Alligator mississippiensis: one gene and its partner. The protein of the gene in region 1 interacts with the protein of each later gene in a pairwise test. Links are inferred from orthologs where the notes say so. Each region holds a gene or a part of one and is shown on either strand. Other genes may lie near its edges.

What was found. The genes of interacting proteins can lie anywhere in the genome.
Region 2: the proteins of WASHC3 (region 1) and HSBP1 interact in binary tests that used the Homo sapiens proteins (3 or more experiments, as listed by UniProt). The two-hybrid records come from large-scale screens. The link is inferred for Alligator mississippiensis from reciprocal best matches to the Homo sapiens genes WASHC3 and HSBP1.

What each region holds. Positions count from the first base shown.
Region 1 is NC_081827.1:107,401,551-107,408,404, reverse strand, and holds the start of WASHC3 (WASH complex subunit 3), read right to left. Parts: upstream 3,011-6,854; 5' UTR 2,951-3,010; coding exon 2,900-2,950; intron 47-2,899; coding exon 1-46. UniProt on the Homo sapiens protein: Acts as a component of the WASH core complex that functions as a nucleation-promoting factor (NPF) at the surface of endosomes, where it recruits and activates the Arp2/3 complex to induce actin polymerization, playing a key role in the fission of tubules that serve as transport intermediates during endosome sorting.
Region 2 is NC_081833.1:72,035,948-72,042,814, forward strand, and holds the start of HSBP1 (heat shock factor-binding protein 1), read right to left. Parts: upstream 3,026-6,867; 5' UTR 2,963-3,025; coding exon 2,918-2,962; intron 2,905-2,917; exon of another isoform or gene 2,733-2,904; intron 1,774-2,732; coding exon 1,707-1,773; intron 1,525-1,706; coding exon 1,406-1,524; 3' UTR 1,405-1,405; intron 74-1,404; 3' UTR 1-73. UniProt on the Homo sapiens protein: Negative regulator of the heat shock response. Negatively affects HSF1 DNA-binding activity. May have a role in the suppression of the activation of the stress response during the aging process.

The DNA.
Region 1 (6,854 bases):
ACTGGTTCAGAAATGCCACAGTTCTTTTCTGCTGAATAGCTGGAACCTATGTTACACAAAACAAAAAAAACCCCAAAGTTTACACGCAGAAAACATGCATTTCCAATTCTTACCCTTGTATTCAAGACCCGATTTTGAAGTTTATATGAAAGAGGCTAAGAAAATATTTTAATCATTTGTCCTAACTATACCATGAATATAGGAACATGAAAAAAAAAAAATCAATCAATATTTTAATCTTCTAAGTGTGAGTGTAGAGACAAGGGAATACCACCTGAATAAACAAAGAGGTTTTCATCACAAAAGAGAATGTTTTAACCTAAAAGCAATTTTCTGAAAGTCATCGTAAAACACAGTAAAATAAAAATCTAACTCTAAAAGGAAGTGGATCAGGGTCTCTCCCTTTGGGTCTTAGTACTGGGGAAATTAAGTACATTTACATAAACTAGTATCTAGTTACAATTGGGAATAGAAAGCAGTTGTTAGCCATGTTAGTTTGAACTCAGGCAGAAGGCAGGGTAGAGATGCACTTTGTTAGTTAGACACAAGGCACCTTCAGAAAATGCCATCTCTTATTTTTCACTCATTTTTTCAATGCAGAAAAACAGTAGATCAATTCTACTGTTACAAAGAACTCTGAAAGACCACAGCAGGGCAGAACTGTTTTAATACTATGGATTCCTGTTCGAAATCTCTGGGTTTATACTGTGAAGCATGCTTGCACACCTAGCAGTGCTGTGTGGCACCTCACAGCACCCTTGAAAGGATCTCAAGGCACCCCAGGGTGCTGTGGTACCTGGTTGAAAATCACTTGTATAAACTAACTGAATGACAGAAGTACAGTATAAGCTCATAAATCTGGATACCAAAAATCTGGAATGATCAAAAATCTGGCACTGCCCACCACCCTCCTGGACATGGAGGGAGAAGTCTGTAGATGGTGGCTGCTTCCGCCGTTCACCACAGTGTGCCACTGCTCCATGTGTGGCCGCTGCTCTGGGACCAGCTGCCGCTACCCTCGCCCCTGCTCCGCGACCGGCTATCACGCCAGTTCAAAAAAATCCAGCGTTTTCAAATTTCCAGCAAGTGCTCAACCCCAAGCACGTCGGATTTATGAGTTTATACTGTATAAGCTTGTGTGAGCAAGAGCTCATCATTTCATCAGATAGCAACTTGACTGTCAGAAGGCTAAGTGAAGGACACACGTGCAGCTGCTTGCTGCAGCTTTTATATTAAAGGGTGCCACTTCTCCACACAGCTAGACCTCATCAACAGTCCCAAGCAGATGACGAGAGAAGCAGTACCCCTTCAAATAAAAGACATGGCCCACAGCTGGAGTACTGCAGCAGTCCCACGCTGCTGTTTGCAGCAGCTGTATATAATCCCAGCCACTTCGCAGGGGGCTAAGAAACCTAACCTTGTGAACCATTTGGTTCTATGTATTTTGAGAAGGATTAACTATTCATGCAAATGTTTACTTAGGCCCAAAATGGGAAGTTTCTGAGGCACTGAATTTCTGTTTTTCTTAGATGTACAGCATCTGGTACAATAAGGCTTTGATTTGGACCTGCAAATGCTACTGCAATATAAACAATATTGTAAAGTCTCAACCTTTGGGTAAAAATGAGAGAATATGAACACAAAGCTGAATCAAAATACTATGATTATGTCCCAATCTCATCTAAGACTATTGCAAAAATAGTGGTGGTTCCATAAGCAGTCCACATTTAACAAGTTGAAAAGTGTAAGACAAATATAGGAATCACCTATTCAGTTACTCCTCCACTTTTGTAGTTCTGTTTAGCATTGTGTTACCCACAACCCAAGCAATTTCACAAAAAAATTGGATAGCAAATATTTATATTTCTCTTGGGTTTAACACCTCCCAGGAACACCTGGGAGATGACTGGATCCCACAATCAATCTGAACTGTTCTGCATTCTGTTTCGCAGTTCATAAGGAACCCTGAAATTAAATAAAAGCTACACCGACTTGAGAAATACTACTTTGTTAAACAGTAAAATTTTACATGGAAAGTATTAATAGATGAAGTATTCTGCTGCATTCTGCTTTTGCAGCAGAGGACTTACTGCTGACAGCTCTTTTTGTGCCAAAACTGCTCAGAGGTAGAAAAGAAAAGAGGCATTTGGGAAAGAGAAAGCATGTTTTGCAAAAGTGATTCTTTAAAGAGAATTTCTTAACTACCACCTTGTTCGGCCCCTTACACTTTGAACTCCAAGATCAACAGATCAGTTAATATCCTCCTCTTAACTGTAGAAGTTCATAGCTTGTACTATCTCTATCTACCTACTTTGGCTAGTCTATAAGGTGCCTGATCTACCCTGCCTTCTCCTGGACTGCAGACCAACACTCCCCTGCTCACAGACGGCACCAGGCACAGCAGGTGGACTCCCCGGGGCAGGGGCTGCACCCGCTGATGTCACCAGGTCCCTTCCAGCCCTGAACTCCTGCGAATATCTACACTGCTCAGCTTTGAGCACCTCTTGTCACAGCTTTGATGAAGTGAGCTTCAGTCCACAAAAGCTTGCGATATACACACAGATATCTCCACATCCGTCCACCCACTTTGGTTAGTCTTTCAGGCAGGAGAGCAGAAGGCAGAGTACGCTGGCACCTCACAGGCTATCCACAACACACAGACAGCTACAGCACGAGCTTCCCATAGCCTACAAGGTGCCTGATCTACCCTGCCTCCTGCCTGCCTTCGGACTACCAAGGCCCTGCCCGCAGAGGACCCCAGGCGCAGCCACCTGAAATGGTCTGCACCCGAAAGTCTACATGGGGAAACCTGCTCAGTTTCGAGCAGAAGAGCACCTCCCGCTGCAGCATCTGATGAAGTGGGCTTCAGCCCACGAACACTTGCGTTTCGAGCCCGCACCTTGGTGAGGTCGATGCCGGAGCCCACCAGGGGCAGCCCGTCCTCGTCCATCCCCCGGGGCAGAGGCCAGAAACGACTTCCAGCCTCTGACCTCCGCCTGCCGGAAGCAAAACCGACTCCACTGGGTCGACCCTGCTCTGCGCATGCGCGGGAGGGAGCCGCTAGAGGAATGCATCATGGGAGTGGTAGTTCCGCCCAGGCGCCCCTCCAAGCAGGCGTGGTTAAAAGCCACCTGCGTCCACTTCCGGTGTCTCCACCTCTTGAAGGGGCTGAGATTAAGGACAGGGCTTGTTTTTCCGACTCGATTTGCGGTATTTGGTTGTTTCAATAAAAGATGCCACCTTAACAAACCCTTGCCTCTTATTCCCCCGCTTTTCCCCCAGGGGGTGCTTCAGTGAAGCCAGCAGGGCTGAGGGGAGGGGGGCAGAGGCAGATCCAGGGGGTGCGTTACAACCCCCTTTGATTCCTGCTCCACCCCAAATGTGTTGAAAGCTTGCAAATAAAGATTAAAAAAAATTTTTTTTGGTGCAAATATCTAGTTGGTCTAACAAAAGATATCACCTCTGCCAGGACCTTTGATTCCTTTTGGCAGTGGCAGTAGCATGCCTAGTCAGGTAGCGCTGAGGGAGTCAATGACTTCGTGGCTCGGTATAACTTACCCTTTCAATAATAATAATAATAATAATAATAAATACATCATATACCCATCATAATCTACCCTTCTAAACTCTTCATGCCACCAGTGTTAAGGTTGCTTTCTTCTTTTTAATGGTCTTGATGTTCCACCAGTTAAGTGATGACCCCAGCAGGCCTTCCTGCCCAAGTGTGGGGGAGCTGGATCGGGTGATCTCATGAGGTCCCTTCCAGCCCCTAACATCTCTGAATCTCTGAATCCTTTGTTCTGCACTTCTGCTGTTATCTGCTCATTGTCCGGAAGCTCCTATTTCACAGCCCTGCAGATTGTTTTTAACTCATTTGAATGAAATTATATTTGTTTTCACTGTAATCTTAAACTGAATACTGCAGCCCTGGGCTCCTAGCACATTAGTAAAGCTTCTAGTTTAATTGGTGGAAAATATGTATTGCTTTATGTGTGAAGACACAGCTCACCCCGGTTCCAAATTCTAGATCCACCCGTGGGTGGAGCTGCATCCTGAGGAGCAATGACAGGGCTCAAGGGCTCAGATAACTTGTGAACACCAGCCCCCACTGTAGTTCTGCAATGAACACCCTCATGCACTATTCCTTGAATGCCTAAACAGAGGAGTTTTAAGCTGTAGCAGAAAGGTGGTGTTGTCTTCCTGTATAGTGTCAGTGTAATGGTTACTGGCACGTTCTGGCCAGTTTTGCTGTCTCCACGTTTTAAAAGGGTTGAAAATAGAAGAAGAGTTCAGGAAAGAATTGTCAGAATGCTCTGATGTCTTGGAGAACTGCCTTGGAGAAAGGGCTCAAGAAGCTTGGTCTGTTTTATCCAAAATCAGGCTAAGAGGAGACTTGATTGTAGTCATCAGGCAGGAGATGTCTGAAAGCAGACATCTCTTAAATTTAGCAAAGTTGTAACAAGATCTGGAGGATGAAGGTCAAAGCCAGACAACTTGGAAGTGGAAATAAGGTGCACATTTTTAAAAGTGAAGTTTAATTAATGTTTGGAACAATTTCCATCACAAAGGTTTCAAATCAAGATGGGATGTCTTTCTAATTCAGGAGTGTCAGTCATCCAGCCTGCAGGACAGGTCTGGCCCAAAGAACTGTTCCATCTGTCTAGAGACAGGCCAGAGTATTTGAGGACGTGGTTAGTGGGGAGTAGGGCCTACAACAGAATTGGGGGCGCTGTTGGATATGGGTGAGGGAGGGCTGTGCTGACACTGCCCCCCAGTCAGTTGGTCCACTGTCACCACCACTTGCACTGTCCTTAATTGTCACAAAGGGCCATTTGCCCCATCACCTCTGCAACTGTTGGTTGTGTTGCTGCTGCCTCCAGCCCTGCCACATCCACCACTTGTCCCATGGATCCACATTCAGCCTGTGGCACAGGTTGAGTTTGACACCCCTGCTGTAGCTTATGGTTTCTCAACCAGTGGTCACAACTCTTGAAGAAAGTCAGATAGGCCATGAGGTCTTGGAAAAAAAAATGCTGCAACTTAATGTAAAGAAAATCTCACTCCTGTACTTCCTACACACTTGCCCTTGAACAAATTTATTTGAAACAACCTTGCCCAGATAAATTGTATAAATTCACTGTTCTCACTGACATACTTTTTACTTTTACTTTTATCATAAATTAAAGGGGGTCATGACTTTGCATAAGAAATCATCAACCTGAAGAGTTTAAGAAGATCTGGTAGAACTCAGCCCGAGCAATACAGGGCTTACCGGGTGGAATTTTCTGGTTTGTGTTATACAGGAGTTCAGACGAAATTATCACAATGACCTTTTCTGACCTTGGAAAACCTAGATATTCTGTGAACATTTAATGACCAATTCCTGGTACAAAGACTCAGAAAAATAAAACATTCCTTTCCTGAAATTAGAGGATGTCCATTTCCCAAGCCATTTGCAGCAAAGTCTATATAATCTGGAAAATTACAAAAATTTTACTGCTCTCATGTTTTGGACTTCCATGGCAAGAATCAATTCTATGGTAGTGGTGGTTTATTTTTCTCAGATATATTTGGCATTTCACAGATCTGTGTTTCACGAAGGCAGATTCAGTCTTTGTCTTTCATATCTTTTGACTGACAGATGTAATGATTTTTTTTCTGTGGCCCATTTGTCAATTTATATGTAAGATACTTGTGGATGGGTACAAACTGTTCAGGAAGGACAGGCAGGGGAGAAGAGGAGCAGGAGTTGCGCTGTATGTGAAAGAGCCATATGATTCTTCACAGATCCAGTATGAAACTGGAGATAGGCCTGTTGAAAGCCTCTGGGTTAGGGTAAGAGGAGAGAGCAACAAGGGTGATGTTGTGTTGGGGGTCTGCTATAGACCAACAGACCAGGAAGAAGTGGTGGATGAGGCTTTCTTCAAACAGCTAGCAGAAGTTTCCTGATCACAAGCCCTGGTTCTCATGGGGGACTTCAATCACCCTGACATCTGCTGGGAGGGCAATACAGCAGTGCACAGGCACTCTAGGAAGTTTTTGGAGAGTGTTGGGGTCAACTTCCGGGTGCAAGTACTGAAGCGGCCAAGTAGGGCTGTGCTCTTCTTGACCCGCTGCTCACGAACAGGGAAGAATTGATAAGGAATGTAGTAGTGGATGGCAACTTGGGCAGCAGTGACCACAAGATGATTGAGTTCAGGGTCCTGAAGAAAGGAAAGATGGAGAGCAGCAGAATAAGGACTCTGGACTTCAGAAAAGCATCTTCAACTCGCTCAGGGAACTCCTGGGCAGAATCCCCTGGGAAGCCAGTCTGAGGGGAAGAGGAGTCTAGGCTGCACTCTAAAGAAGCCTTACTGAGAGTGCAGGAACAAACCATCCTGATGTACAGGAAGACTAGCAAGTATGACAGACCAGCTTGGCTTAGGAGGGTACTCTTCAGTAAACTAAATCACAAAAAGGAAGCTTCTAAGAAGTGGAGACTTGGACAAATAACTAGTGAAGAATATAAAAGCATTGCTTGGGCATGCAGGGATGAAGTCAGGAAGAGAAAAGCCAGTGGTGTACTGACGGGGGGCGGGGCATGTCCTTGGGTGCTGGCTGGGTGGGGGTCGAGGCAACTTGGCCCCGCACCGGCACTTCCGGTTTCCAGGCTTGGTGATTGACCCCTGGGGGATCCCCCTCCTCACTCGGTGATTGGCCGTGGACTGGGGAGGGAGGGGGTGCAAATGTAAGAATTGGCCCCCGGGTGCAGGAGACCCACGGTACGCCACTGGCCAAAGTGCAATTGAAATTGAAGTTAGCAAGGGATATGAAGGGTGACAAGAAGGGTTTTGACAAGTATGTTGATAGCAAGA
Region 2 (6,867 bases), on another chromosome or scaffold:
GCAAAAAGCTGTTCTGTAATCCCATGGGCTTGTAAAAAATGTATCCCAGCATTCATCCTAATTTATTGGCAACCTGTTGAGGAAGATAAAAGATTATTGCAAATAAGAATTTGATTAGACAAGTACAGTCAACAGAAATATTGCACAAAGCTAGTAGAACACAAAGAAGGTAAGCTGGCAGCCAGTCTCCACCCCCCCCCCCCCCCATTTAAATGAAGAGAGATTGGCAAGTGTGAAACTTCCACGTTTATGCAATTGCAAGGTCCCAGTAGGAATTTAAGCATGATTGAATATGAAGAATAAAGCTAAACTTTGGTGCAATTAAGATCATACTAATCTAAACTGCAAGACCTTAATTTTACTAACAAGAATGCCAAGAATATAAAGTTAAACACCTGAATAGAAGTTTGCAGGATCAAAACCCTCATCCGCCCACATATTTCACTGTCATATTTGGAGAAGATGAACATGTAAGAATTCAAAGTAAAATCTTCCCTTCCAGCAGACAAGACAGTACAATGTGGATTGGGAGTGTGGGCTGAGGGCTGATGATACAGTGAAAAAGATATTTTGTTCTGTCCCCAATTTTAAGGTTCTTCTAAAACTGCTTAAAACCAGTTTCCTTAAAACCACTGCTCTATGGGGAACACTGGGACTTTCCTATATTCAAGGCCAACAACAATTATAAAAAAATAAAAAAAATAAAATCACCTTGTGTCAATTTTTCACTGAACTAAGTGAAATCTCACAAGCAAAACTGACCTCACTAATCCAGCATAGGCACACCCTGTGTATAGGACTTGCATCACTTCACTATGATCTGCAAACTTGGACTAGTCCAAAGATTTTTCTTAATGGAGTCTCATGCCAGAACCCATACCTTATAAAGCTGATGAAAGTATGCTTATAAAGCTGACGAAGCAGCTGGTTGTTGCCCAGTTTCTATTTTTGGGCAACAAACAGTGACACTGCTAGGAAGACTGGCAGAAATGAGTCAGTGAAATTAAATGCAACAACAGCGCAACTCCAATTAGTCAGAATAAACATTAATTGTACAAGTGATGTCAGGCTGCGTGAGCAGAGGCTGTGCACACCAGTCTGCACTCTTCCTACGTCGTATTTTTCTCAGTTTCCAGTTTTTAATACTCCATGCCTCTAGTCATTGAAGCAGCCGTCCTGCCTGAACAAGTTGGTAGGAGCTTCCTAAAGATCACAAACAAATATCCTAGCATTCACTGCACAAGATACAAATTCCTGTTACAGCATTTCATAATTGCTCTATTTGAATTTCAGTCTGCCTCACAAATGAGCATGAAAAATTGGCCCCTTTAAAGTCAATGCCAGTTCTGCTGTTTACATCATTAGGGAGAAGAGTTCACTTGGGAAGCGAATCAAGTCACTCACTTTAGCTCTTATTAGGAGCAGGCGTCTTGTTCTCTCCTTCTAGTTCTTCCACTCCTGCCTGCGTCATGAGGTCGGCTATGTTTTTCTCCAGGTCATCAATGCGACAGCTCATGTCATCAAGTTAACTCAAGTTAAAGAAAATGAACTGTACATGATTTACACTCTTATTTCCTTGCATATAACTTCACTCGGGACGGCTAACGGTAACAACCCGAGCTGCAAAGATAAGCGTTTGATGGACATAAAAGTTTGCAAATATCTTTGACGCGCACCCAGAGAGGCACGAGTACGAAAAAGGATATTTCTTCCAATGATCTGGTCAGACATGGTCTGAAATTTGTCTTGCATCTGTTGAAGCAATGTCTGTACCTAAAACACAGGGAAAGGCTTAAGTTTAAAGCATCGCTTTCAAACTTTTCATCCGAATATCCCCTCTTTCTACTTCTTTAGCCTAGTGCAGTAACTCTGAACCAGGTGCCTTGATATCCTTCCAAGGGTGCTGCCAGCATGTCGCCTGACGTTACCACAGTTACGTGAGCCAACATTTGACGAAACCAGAGTTTTCACGTAGGGATCCACAGCGTTAAAACGTTCGGCCCCGTCACGTCCTGCAGAGCGCTCTGTCACAGGAGCCCAGGCGCGCACTGGTTACTCGGCAGAGGCGCGCCGGGCCGGGGCTATTTGACCCCGGCGGACATGCGCTGGGCCGGGGCACCCAACGATCTCGCGAGGTGTCCCCTCCAGCCTCAAATGTCCGAGAACCTGAAACTTGCTATTATCCACCCATAGTCAAAAACCGCGTGAAAAGTTAAAAGCAAGCAATTCCCAGGGGGTGCCTCGAGCCTAAAAAGGCTGAGAACGGCTGGCCGGGCAGCTCCGCAACCCTGCTTGAAGCCGTGGGGCAGCCCCATCCTCCCCACCGCTACGCCAACAGGGGGACGTCGAGACACAAGAGCATGAGGGAGCTCGAGCTCTATGACGGCGGCGCTCAGCCGCAAGTCCAGCCGGCGGGGACAAGCATCCAGCTTGCGGGGATACCGCCGGGTTGGAAAATGCAGGCTGTGCAGCCGCATCCAGCCCTGTCCAGATGTCGCTGGGCTTTTGGGGGGCCCAGCTTCCTGTGACGCGACACTGGGAACACTCGAACTCAGTGCCCAGCTCCTCCCCTGTGCTGTGGTACCTGCCTCCCCACCTCCCTGCCAGTAGGGGGCAGCAGCAGGCACTCTGTGCCCTAACAGCCCGCACTGCGCATGTGCACCGCTGCCCCTGACGTCACCCCCCAGGCCCTTGCACCTTGGCAGCCCGCAATGCGCACGCGCACCCCTGCTCCTGACGTCACCCCTCCAGGCCCTTGTGCCCTGGCAGCCCGCATTGCGCATGCGCACCGCTGCTCCTGATGCCATCCCCCAGACCACGCCCCCAACGGCCGCCCGGCCCCGCCCCTAACGGTCGTCCCTTTGGCTCTTGCTCCAGAGGCGACGCCCACGGCCGCGGCCCCAGGTAAGTGCCTCACCACGGCGGTCAGGTCCTGCACGGTCTTGGGGTCGGTCTCAGCCATGGCGTCGGTTCCGTCAATGCGCGCCGCGTCCCGCTCCCGTCTCCAAGGCGCGGGCACTTCCGGGCCGCGCCCAAATCTCGCGAGAGGAGAGCCCTCCCTTGCCCGTCCTGGCCCGGCGCGAGGGGCATTGTGGGGAATGTAGTCCTCGCTGTTCAGAGAGTACAAAAGACAGTGATGCCTACCGTATTGTCTAGTAGAAACACGCATATTTCCTCCCTGCCAATCAGCCCTCCTTCCAAAAACATAAGAATTAAATGTGGGGGTGGCCTATGAAGCCAGCAAGGGGTTTGTTTGTTTGTTTGTTTGTTTTTAATGTTTACCCATCTGAGCAGCAGCAGCCCTGGAATTGCTCTTCAGGCAGCTGATGGAGTCATGGCACTGTTGAGTTCACACCCATAGTTCGCCACTGCGTGGGTCTGCGCTCCACGTACTCCCGTGTTCCCTTACTTCTGACCTCTGTATTTTAAATTCCCTAAAACAGGCCTGCAAAATTGAGCAACGACTGCCATTTGAATAGGTTGTAGAAATCTCGCCTTTTTAAGGGTCCGGAAGTACCACGAATGAAGCTCAGGTATCTGGGGTGCAGACGTATTCATCTAGAGAAAACCGTAATCTGAACTCGTGGTAGAGGTGGGATATCTTTTATTAGACCAAGTAGATATTTGCCACAACAAAAAATGTCTTTAATTGCAAGCTTGCAATCGAAAGCTTGCAATTAAAGTTGGGTTTTTTTGGTTGCAAAACTCTAATTGGTCTAATAAAAGACGTGAGCTCTACCATGAGTTCTGGTTACTAATGAAGCTCAGCTTTCTTAGGGGGATCATGCCATCTATTTCACAGGGAGCGCATCTACACAAGATGCGAGGGCGACCTAGTGTTGGCGGGCACGAAACCCTGACTCTGATGCTATTTTGCAGCAGCAACAAGCAACAAGTAGTTCATTGGTACTGCTCAGTAGGGTCGGAAACAACCCATGCGCTGCCGGGACTACAAAATAATGGTGGTTACTGCGCAGCCGCCAAATGACCGTGCAGTAACTGTGCAGTTGGACCCACTGTCTGGCTCTTTTAAAGCTCAGAGATCCACCCATGGAGACCTGGCTTTATCTAGGGCTTTAGTTATGCAGGAAAGGGAGGCTGAGTGGGTTGAAGATTAGCCTCTGTGCACCCATAACCCTGGGCAGTTTGTGTGTGTTTTTTTTTCTTCAGGATGCCTTTCAAAAATAGGGTGTAAGCTATATTGGGGGTTTTATATACAGGAAAATGGGGTGGTTCTGAAGCCAGAGGTGCTGTTGCAGCTGGAAGCAGGATCTGAAATGCAAAGGCATCCATAGTGTTTCTGTTCAGACAATAAGCCCTGTTTTGGGTAGTAGGAGGCAGAGTATTAATTATAACTAGTGAGGAGTGGCAAAATCTCATAGGAAGAAGTGAAGATGTTAAATCTTTATTAATTTATTTTTGCAAAGCATTAAGCTTAGCCATAATCCTGCTGCTTGTTGTGCTGTTTCAAACAAAAGCTGTGCCCATAGGGAGATGTCATAGTTTCTTTCATGCATTTAAGAAAGACTTTCACGAATTGGAGAGAGCATAAATATTTTCCAGACTCCAAACGGTTTGAGCTGAAGTAATCCTCCACCTTTTTTGTTTTGTTTTGGTTTTTTTTTTGGGGGGGGGGTTATTTAATTTTGGAGGTGACCACAAATGAGCAGTTAAGCCTGATTTGCAAGCATTTACAGGTAGTCTGGATTCTGAGGAGGGCTAGCTGTAGGGACAGCGGCGTTATGGATTTGCAGTGGAAGTCAGAAATGTTATGTAAGGGACTGATGACTAACTGAAAGCATATTTGGGGATTTATGGCAGATTGTGTGTAGGAAAGAAACTAGGAGAAAATGTGAGCAGTTTGAGCAGATGCAATTCGTGCCAGACACATCTTCATTCCGTGATCTTTGGGCATAAGGATAGGTGCTGCCAAGCTGCATGGGATAAGATTTCACAAAGGAAGAAGATGCAGGAGAAGCTTTCCTTGGCACAGGCCCGCTGGCCGCAGATACCTTAGCTCATTGATAGTTTTCTTTTGTAAAACAGCCAGCATTTTTGTGGCTTGGTGATTGTGAAGAGAGATTCTAGTTAACTGTGGCCAGCAAATGTGTGGTGAGCCTGCAAGTGCAGGACGTTTCTCATTATCTTCACGTGATCTTCAAAAGGCACCTTCCAGGCAACTGCAGGCTGCTGTGCTGTATTAATAGCATCTTTCCGACTTAAGCCATCATGAAATGAAGACAGGGGGATTTCCATTAGGGAGGTGACCATCACAACAGTGTTAAAGTAATACAAGATTCATTATCTATGAGTGGGTTGTTTCCGAAATTAATTACAGTTTCTTGGTCTGAGGAATGGAGAAAAAATAATTTTTTTTAAATTTTTTTTTATTTAAAGGACGTGTTTACCAAACTGGGGTTGTGATTGTCATTTGAATTGCATAGTCTATCGCTAACACTCCTTATCCATCCCTTTCTACCAAGGTCTCTAAGCATCTGTGTAGATGCGCTGCATATAACTATTTCTCCGTCTGCCAGCTCTTTCTTCTGTGCAGACATGATTTTGTCCTTCTGCTGTATGTCCTTGTGGCAAAGCTTGGTTGCTGTTTGTTTCCTATCGATCTCTTTAATGCTGTTTAGGCAATTGCTTACTTAATTGACTCCGATTACTGCTCAGCCTAATGCCTTTTGTTTTTACCTGTATGTGTCCCAAGTGATGCCAAACCGAAAGACAATAAGATTGGTTTGTGTGCAGGCACACCAGTGAATCCAGAGACTGTCCAAGGGTTTGGGGTGTGAATTTGAGAGCATGCACCAACTGCAGATGCTTCCTCAGCCTGATGATAGGCATTTAAACCCAGGAGCTTGCTACGGAGAATTTTTCCAACTATTTGAGTTGGTCTAATAAAAGATATGAGTTACCCAAAGCACCTTGTTTGCCTGTACCAACTGTTTCTTGCCTGAACCTCTTAAAGGCAGAGTTCTCTACAGCTCTTTCCCCAGACAAACACAATACTAACAATAAAGCAACATTAACATAATACAGAATGGCAAATACTTTATAACCAATCTATGAACTCAATTTGTTAATATTGTTCCGTTAGCTTCTCCGCTGTTGAGCCTCACAATGTCTCATGGATTGATGAGTCCACCCCGAGTCATCAGCAGCACTTGCCAGGCTGTGGTAAGTCCGTTCATCCCAATTATGCCAGGTCTTGAGGTTCAGCTCTCTCACCTACTATTGTTGCCCTGTGGTCAACTCAGCAGGGAGTTGGAAAAGGCATTTGTGGTCCTTCACAGTACATTTCCATGTGTCTGAAATGACGGGCTCACCCTGCAGGTCTGCTTGTTGTCATTTCGGAGGCAGCCTTCCCAGGGCAGAGCATCTGAGGATGCAGTAACTTTGCAAGCAGAGATGGCCATTCTTTAAATGGCAGCAGCTCCTGGGACACCAAATCATCACACCTTTTTGGTTTGCCTCCTGTCTCTAATACTTCTGCAATTCCCCACTGATTCTGACCTCCATTTCTAACAGCCCAGGCCTGCTTGCTTCCAGTTCTCTGTTGAACAAATGTCAACTAGTAACAACTCGATCTTCGTCTGCAGGGTTCTGTAATTTAACAGTGATTAATTTAACTGCAGCCTTTTTCAATAAGTGCTTCATTATCTTGACAGCGTTTTCCACCAGCCTGTTGGATTCCAGATAATGGGTCCGTGTTTACATGTTAAGCTGCACTCCGTCGCAAATGGCTTAAACTCCAGTGCAAGCCGTTGTCAGACATTCGCGTCAGACAAACCATGACTAGCAAAAATGGATTTGATATGCCCAATCAGCAGTTCAGCTGCAGTAGTTCCAGTCAGGCCATCT